Cricetulus griseus: one gene and its partner. The protein of the gene in region 2 binds, or shares a complex with, the protein of the main gene of each other region. Links are inferred from orthologs where the notes say so. Each region holds a gene or a part of one and is shown on either strand. Other genes may lie near its edges.

Region 1 (4,134 bases), on a different chromosome or scaffold from region 2:
GAGTAGCCAGTGCTCTAAGTCACTGAGCCATCTCGACAGCTCTGTGGCACACACTTTTAATCCCGGCACCTGGGAAGCAGAGGTAGGCGGATCTGAGTTCTGAGTTCGAGGTAACCCTGGTCTTCAGAGGGAGTTCCTGGACAACCAGAGCTATACACAGAAAGCCTGTTTTGAAAAAACAAAACCGAAACCAAACAACAACAACAACAAAAAAGGTAAGACAACAGGGTATACCCCAATGTGGTAGAAGTATATAGACAGTGATTGCCCTGCTACATAGAGGAACCCACCATGTAATCCAAAGCTGTGTCTGCTCCTTTGTTTGTTCAGTCAAGAACTGCTTGGGCCAGTTGGCTGGTCCTGTCCAGTGAGACAGCTCAACTCAGGAAAAACTAACCATTCAGCTGGACTGATGACATAGGCCTGTCTTCCCAGATACTTAGGATGCTAAGCAAGGAAGATCAAGAATTCTAGGCCTTAGCCGGGCGTTGGTGGTGCATGCCTTTAATCCCAGCACTCGGAGAGGCAGAGGCAGGCAGATCTATGTGAGTTCGAGGCCAGCCTGGTCTCCAGAGGAGTTCCAGGACAGCCTCCAAAGCCACAGAGAAACCCTGCCTGGAAAAACCAAAAAAAAAAAAAAAGAATTCTAGGCCTGCCTGGGCTACAGAGTGAGTTGAAGGTACATCACCTCAAAAGTCTAAGTTAAAGAAAGGACTGTAGTGTTATCTCAAAGGTAGAGCCCTTGCCTAGTATGTGAGATGTCCTAGGTTCCTTACCCAGTAGCACAAAAATAATAAAAAAAATAAAATAAAAATAAAAACTAAAACCAGTTACTATATCAGTCATTAGGTAAACACTTCTACATATAAAACTTACCAGATTCGCCTGACTCTGCCTCCTGAGTACTGTGATTAAAGGCATGTGTACCATCCCTGGCTACAGACTTTTGACTAAAGGAAAATGCAAGTGACTTCCCAGTATAATTACAGAGTTTTCAAAAAAGAAAAGAAAAGGTACTCAGGACACTGTGATGAAAACAGATGTAGCTAGACTGGTTTGTATTTATAGCGTCTGGTTTAGTACAAGACTGCCCTTTAGGTAACCTGCAATTAGAAGTGAGGACTAAAGTCTTCCTTAAACTGATAGTTACTAGCGACCCCCCCCCCCCCCCCCCCCCCGCTCCTAATCCAGGCCACCCAGTAGGTAAAGCAAATGGGAAGTCTTTGAAACCAAGGATGCCAGGGCTCACCCCATACCTGCCCAAGACCCTGGACAGAGCAGTGCTTTTTTTTTTTTTTTTTTTTTGGTTTTTCGAGACAGGGTTTCTCTGTGTAGCTTTGGAGCCTGTCCTGGCACTCGCTCTGAAGACCAGGCTGGCCTCGAACTCACAGAGATCTGCCTGCCTCTGCCTCCCAAGTACTGGGATTAAAGGCTGGCCCTGGAGCAGTGTTATGGAGGGAAATACTGCAGGGCTGGTCCCTGATGGCTTGGTAACTCCCACATGTGGCCTCAATCACATGTCCTTTCCTACTATGTCCTCCTGGCTATCTGCCAGGCTCACTCTGGGCACGTGGGGAGGAAGTGGGAATTGTCCTCCAATGTAAACAATTATGAGCACTAATGTGAGTCTTCAGCCCTGCACCGGGCTTCAAGGCAGTGAGGCCACTGTGTAGTGTCAACCCACTGTCATGGCAGCTTCACTCAGCCCATAGAACAAACGCACCATGCCAGGATCAAGCTGGAGGGGGTGATTGTGGGAGGAATTCCACAGTGCACAGCGACAGTGATGGGTGGCTGAAAATGTGCAACTGGTAATGTACCTCTATGCAGACACAATATAAACACTTTCCACTCGTTTTACTATAGACCTAAAACAAAGCAGCTTAAAACAAAGAGTAGATATGAGGTGCTCGGAGGCTAAACCCACACGACGGACATGGAGCAGGAATGCTGCTATCTTGCAGTCAGGAATGAGGTCTAAGTGGGGATTATCAGCAGGCAGACGCACACAGACAGGAACCTGGAATCAATCCTGCAGATGGCCACGGGAGCCCACCGTGTCTGCATCTAACCACACTTAAGTCGGTTGTGCCACTTCAGTCACTGGTCACAGAAAGGAGGACCGGGAGAAACTACCCTGAAACAGGGCCTGACTGCCAGCGGGAGGCTCCAGAGAAAGGGAGGCCAGGAAAGGAAGAGGGTGGGCTACAAGGAAGGAATGGCGGGAAGAGAGGCCTATAAGGAGTGAGGAGGCCTAAGAGAGTAGAGAGGCCCAGGGAAGGGGAAGCCAGAGAAGTTGGCTGGGGAAGGACGCCAGGGAAAGGGAAAGAGGGACAGGGAAAGGACAACGAGATGAGGAAAGCAGAGACCCAGAAAGGGGAGGCCGAGAGAGGAGGAGGGGTAACGCAGGCAGGGAAGAGGAGGCCCTGCCGAGTAGTCCAAGCCCGCCGCCCCCGCTCCGACCCGCGACAGGCAGCCGCGCGAGCCACTGAGGATGCGGGGCACCGCAGCACAGCCAATGAGCAGCAGCGGAGGCGGGGCCCCGGCGCCAAGCCACCGCCCGCGCCCACCTGAAGAAGAGGGTCCGGTACATCTGGTGCGCCTCGTAGTAGTCGCCCTTCTCGACGCTGGCACGCAGCTTGCCCTCCACGCGCTGGACGCCACCGCGGTTGCGGGCGCCGTTGCGGGCGCCCTCCTGCTCTGCCATCGCCGCCGCCGCCGCCGCCATGGGCCGGCGCTCCGCGCAGAGCTGACGCTGTCGCAGGCGCGGTCGGCGGCACCTCCCGGCTTCCGTCCCTGCGGCCACCGCACGCCCTCTACGGTGGCCGCGAGGAGCCTCGCGAGGGCGGGCGCTCCACAGATGACACGTGACCAAAGGCGGAGCCGCGGAGTGTGGCGGAATCCGCCAGAGCCGCGCGAGGCCACGCCCCCGGCAGGTCTGCAAAGGACCCTCCGAGCATGGGCGGGGAATAAGCGGACGGGGTGGGGTCCGCGAGCTACCACGCATCCGGGAAGGAACGTGCTAGTAGTCACGCGAGAGTGGGTGGGACCAAGGTCTTGGGCGGGGATACACCCCAGTCATTGTGGTGGTGGTGGTGGTGGTGGTGGTGGTGTTACCGCCTGCAAAGGCTGCGCAAGTAAACTGGGCCAGAGGCCGCTGCCACTAGGTGGCTGCTATTGCCCTGACCACGTGAACACATTTTAGAACGCTTGACCTGTCTTACGCCTACCTGTCCAGGAGTGCTCTCCTCCAGGCGGCAGTTATCCTGAGTGACATCGGACTGGGCAGTACGTTCAGGCTAGAACACGAGATAGAGCCTGGCGTTGGTGGCGGTGGTGCACGCCATTAATCCGAGCACTCCTGGGATTAAGGAGACAGAGGCAGGCGGATCTCTGTAAATTCGAGGCCAGCCTGATCTACAGAGCGAGTTCCAGGGCAGGCTCCAAAGCAATACAGAGAAATCCTGTCTGGATGGGGGTAAGGGGAAGGAAGAAAGAAAAAGAAAAAAGAAAGAACATGTGATAGTGTAGAGAAAAGGGTCCTGTCAAAGAAACACCCAGAGCAGAGCCAAAGAAACACACTTTGGCCCTGCAACCAGAACCAAAGAAATGTACCCTGACTCTGCAACCAGTGCCAAAGAAACATACTTTGTCCCTGGAATCAGAGCCAAATCTGACCCTAAACCTGTGCAGAAAACTAAACAATCCCTGAGCATGAGATCTAACCATCCTAACTAAACTCAGGGATTGAAATCTGACCAATCCCTACCCTGGAAAAACTCCACCCCTGTGAAGCCTTATATAAACCCTGTGCCTGTTCAGCTTCTGGCTGTTCAGGGTGGCAGAGGACAGCCACTATCCTGGATTCTTCTCTCCCAATAAATCTCCTGAATGAGGTTTGGGTGAGACCTTCTTTCGGCAGAGCAGAGCAGGGCTGTAATATTTTTTGCTGGGGGGAACCTTCCCCTGGCTAAGGAGAGTTGTTACACTCGGTTCTCATCCTGGGGACCAGAGCCAACTTTGCTGGGGAAACCTTCTCCTGCGAGCAGAGCTAATACACTGGGTTCTCAGATGGGTTCTCCTGGAACCTGTGCTCCTCATAGTGGTCTGAGCCACACTGGGACCCTATCCCTC
Region 2 (4,084 bases):
CAGGCAGCCACCCTTTGATCCTTGGAAGTAGTGGTGAGGATGAAGCAGATGCTGGAGAATTCAGAGGGAGGCAGGAAAAAAGCTGGATGTTTGGTGAAATTGTTCATCAACTGCCAGTACTCCTGGGCTTTTTCACTTTTGTAAGCCAGTAAGTTTCCTGTGTTGTTAAACCAATTATTTGAAACCAAAAGCAGACTAGTTTATTAATAGAGTTCGTCTTGGTAAAAAGTCTCACATGCACCTTAAGTGTTATTTAATTTTCCAAATACATTCCCTGACTCAAAGTGAACAAGGACATTGGTAAGCTTATTATCTGAGCTGCCAGTCCACATATGTGCTCACAAGCAGGTCCCTGATGTGGTACCCCAGGTCTCAGGGAGGAGCAGGGTCTACCAGCTGCTCATCCCCTCAGGCCTCACTTTAGTTTATCATTCCATTATGGGGAGTCAAGATTTGTCCCACAAGGCCCAAAGCCCATGCAGGAGGCCGTTGGGCAAGAAAGGCCAGTGTAGTCCCAACAACATTCAGAGTTGCTTCCTTGGCAAGAGTGGAGGGGCAGGAGTAATGTCCTGCAGGTGGCTATCTTCCAGCCTCAACTGCTCCCAGGGGGTCCTCCTCAAAGGAGCTAGTACTTACATGACCTTTAGCACCCAGGCATAGGTTCAGTGAAAAGAAGAACCACTGTCTTCAGCTTACATTTCTATCTCCTCCTCAGCACCCTGAGTTTCTTCTTAAGCAATGAAGGTGTGCAAACTGAAAGTCCCTGTACACAGGTGGCAGAGGAAGCATCCGTCTCATGCTGTGGGAGAACGCTGGGTGAGGAGACCCAGGAAGAATCCTAGTTGTGACACTGCTTTGTGGAGTCACCTGCTGTCCCTCATGGATGAGACCGACTTCCAGGAGGAGCCAAGCAGATAGGGTCCCCCCAAGAAGAGCTATGTCACAAAGGCCCAGGATATTCCATCTGTGGCCCATGCTTGGCTACCACTTCACTTTTGGCTTCAGTTTGCTTACTGAACACAAGATGGCACTGCAGTTGGTGATAGCAGACTCCCACCTTGAGCCGGGAAAGAGGGAAGGAAACTTATTCAGGTCAGAGGAGTGGTCACCACTAACAGACTCAATGGTAGGGGACCTAAGTGGCACAGAAACTTGACTTAAGCCATACAACGGAGCTAGGGTATCTTTCTGATCCTCCAGCCCCTGACTTTGTCATTCATCAAGAGCACACTGGCTGCAGCAGCAGAGGGACTCTGGATGGCTACCACTTGGCTTCCTATGGAGATTTGCCAAGGGTATGCCAGACATACTAGAGGACAGGTGACAGGGACTAGTGGCTTCCTGAGGGAGTCACTTGAGTGTGTATGTTGAGTGGGCTAAATGGGAATGTTAAGGCCCATCCCTCAAAACAACACACTCTTTCTCCTACAGAGGCACTTCTACAGCTGGCTAGACTTGGATTCTGGCTGTCCCAAGCCATTGCTAGGTGTTTCTACAGTGCAGCCTCAACTGTCCTGTGGAAGGCAGAAGAGAATTCAGGCCAAGTACTTTGAGTAGTGCTTAGCACCTAGCAAGAACTGGGTACATACCAGCTATTATTATCACTATGAGCCAAACTGCGACATGAGAACACATTTAATGCAACATGCAGCTGTGGCCTGACCTGGGATTTCTCCCCCCACTCCCAGAAATGCTATTTGGAGAACCCTTTTTCCATAGACTCAGTTACTTCAGGGTGTAGAAAGCGGCTGGCCAAACGTTCAATGTCATCCAGTGTTAGGCGGCTCAGAGATCTGTCATAATCCTGAGAAGAGAAGACCAGGTGGGTTCAGGGGGTGCAAGCAGGAAGGGGTATGCTGTAATAGGTGGGGGCTGGGGCTAGAAACATTAAGATTGGAGGTCCAGAATTATTCTGCTCACCCTCTGTAGTTGTTCCAGGACCCTGCTGGTATCTGCTACACTGAAGTGACGGGCCAGGACTTTGGAGATCAGCTGCCAGAGGGGTGGGGGTGGGGAGTCGACCAGTCTGTGGGCAGACCCTTCTTCCAGCAGCACCTTCTCCAAAGGTTTAACGACTAGGTTGAGTTTAGAATTGGGCCCAATGTTGTAATCTGACAGTCGTTTCTCATCTGCCAAAGAGAGATTGGTGGGGTTCCTTCCTCATTGTTGTGGGGGTGGCCAGAGAGCAATCCTGCCATGGACAGCTAGAGTGAAACACTGCAGCATCTGGCTATGGGGTGGTGGCGTCTCAGCTACTTTTCCAAGGTTTAGTGGCAGCCACTGCTCTAATCCATTACACTGGCCTGTACATCCCGTCCCCCAACTTCCAACTTCCTACTTCCTGTGGGGGGTCCCTGGATGGCTCCTTTCCCTGGTTACCTGTTAGGGCCTTGCCCTTGAACAGCAGACGTTGCTGGCGCACAGGGACGTTCAGCTTATCCGAGACCAGATGCTTCAGTGTAGACACTAGCTCGTCCTCCGGCACCTGATCCGGCCGAGGTGGAGAGGCAAGGGCTTAGTCCGAATTCCCTGGGCGATGCAGCCCTAGTGCCCCCTCCTGAGGTTAGCTCTCCTGGCCTCCCCCGCCCGCCATTGGCCCCAGCGGCAGGAGTGTGTGAGTGTAGCAGCCTGCAGGGTAACCTTACCTGTAGGCTGCACTCCCGGCCCTGGAGCGCCTTCACGGTCAGCTGCATGATGCCCACAGCCGCGTCCACTAGGACCAATGTAAACCCCAATGGTCCCCTGCCGCGCGCCGCTGCCCCGGGCGCGCGCCGGAACCGCCCGCCGCCGCCGGAAGCCGTGAAAGGGGCGAGCCCGCCGCGTGGCTCCCGCCCGGTCCCGCCTCCAGGCCTTTGCGCCTGCCTGAGCCTGGGGTAGCGTCCACCGCCCTGGGCCCACAAGCCTCCAGCGGCTTTGGTGCAGGGAAGTGGGGCCATTCCGCCCACTGGGATAGGAGCGAGGAATCTGTAGGGTCAGGCTTGCTTCACCGGGGAGCTGTGGCTTGAAAGGAAGGACCAGAATGTCAGCCTCATGCAAGGCCTGACCTGTTAATTCCTACCCTGCTGGTGGACCACATCAGGGCAAACATGTAGTAGTGTCTCTCAGATACAGAAATGGTCCAGTCCTACCTGCCATAGCCCAATGGCTTTCTACTTCTTCCTTTCTAGTCTGGTTGCAAAAATATCCTGGCCGAGGCTCCAAAGTAGTGGACCTAGGCCTCTATCTCTTCACTCATTATAGAACAGAGTCCTGCCCTGTTCTGATAGAGAAAAGCCTTTGCAGATCTGGAGATATAGCTCAAAGGTACAACACTTGTCTACCATGTGCAAAGCACAGAGGAAGGAGAGAGTGGGCTCTGTGCACGGTCACCAAGCCTGTTCACCATCCTGGTCCATATCAACCCAGACACACTCTTCCTATCCCCATCCATACACTCCAAGGGACAAAGACTGGAAGGGACCCAAGCTTGCTTTTGTCTTTTATTGAAATATATTTCTAACTCAGCATGGCCTCTTTGGCACTGAAAGCTGGAAAAAAAAAGCCTGGATTTGTCTGAGTGCATAGTGCATGAGAACAAAAGGCCTTTGGTACAGAACTGTGGGGACAGTGGATGGAGTATGGGGGCTGGGGTTATAAAACTTGATCCAGGGTCCTCATGGAACAGGAAACAAGTTGCTGTAGATGAACTGGCCAATAACCAAAGCCAGCATCTCGGAGGTACCACTCAGTGCCACAATGAAGGGGGCCTGAGAGGCATAGTCTGCTTGAAGGCGACGCAGAGACAGCTGCAGCATAGCTAAAGCTAGCAAGCTGTTTTGTACCCCTACCTCAATGCTGACTGTCCGCCGCTGGGCCACTGGCAGCTTCAGGCACATGGCTAGGCTGTAGCCCACCAAAAGGCCAACCAGGGGCACTGTGAAGCCCACCAGTACGATGGGTAACCTGACTCCCACTAAGATGAAGACCCCCATGTGGTAGGCCAGGAATAGGCCACCCAGGAGAAGTACAAAACTGAAGGGCTTGATGACCTGTAGCAGCAGCTCTGAGAACTTAGGGAGCTTAGACTTGATTACCACACCTGCTG

Evidence for each region. Proteins that work in one complex are often made in the same cells at the same time.
Region 1: Ubl4a (region 2) and Get4 share a complex: the UniProt entries of both Homo sapiens proteins name them as parts of the BAG6/BAT3 complex. The link is inferred for Cricetulus griseus from reciprocal best matches to the Homo sapiens genes UBL4A and GET4.

What each region holds. Positions count from the first base shown.
Region 1 is NC_048597.1:75,910,259-75,914,392, reverse strand, and holds the start of Get4 (Golgi to ER traffic protein 4 homolog), read right to left. Parts: upstream 2,805-4,134; 5' UTR 2,729-2,804; coding exon 2,571-2,728; intron 1-2,570. UniProt on the Homo sapiens protein: As part of a cytosolic protein quality control complex, the BAG6/BAT3 complex, maintains misfolded and hydrophobic patches-containing proteins in a soluble state and participates in their proper delivery to the endoplasmic reticulum or alternatively can promote their sorting to the proteasome where they undergo degradation.
Region 2 is NC_048604.1:1,347,608-1,351,691, reverse strand, and holds the start of Ubl4a (ubiquitin-like protein 4A), read right to left. Parts: upstream 2,808-4,084; 5' UTR 2,694-2,807; coding exon 2,646-2,693; intron 2,486-2,645; coding exon 2,380-2,485; intron 2,130-2,379; coding exon 1,921-2,129; intron 1,805-1,920; coding exon 1,730-1,804; coding exon of another isoform or gene 1,694-1,729; exon of another isoform or gene 1,058-1,693; coding exon 941-1,057; 3' UTR 1-940. Other genes in the region: Slc10a3 (P3 protein), read right to left, coding at 3,654-4,084. UniProt on the Homo sapiens protein: As part of a cytosolic protein quality control complex, the BAG6/BAT3 complex, maintains misfolded and hydrophobic patches-containing proteins in a soluble state and participates in their proper delivery to the endoplasmic reticulum or alternatively can promote their sorting to the proteasome where they undergo degradation.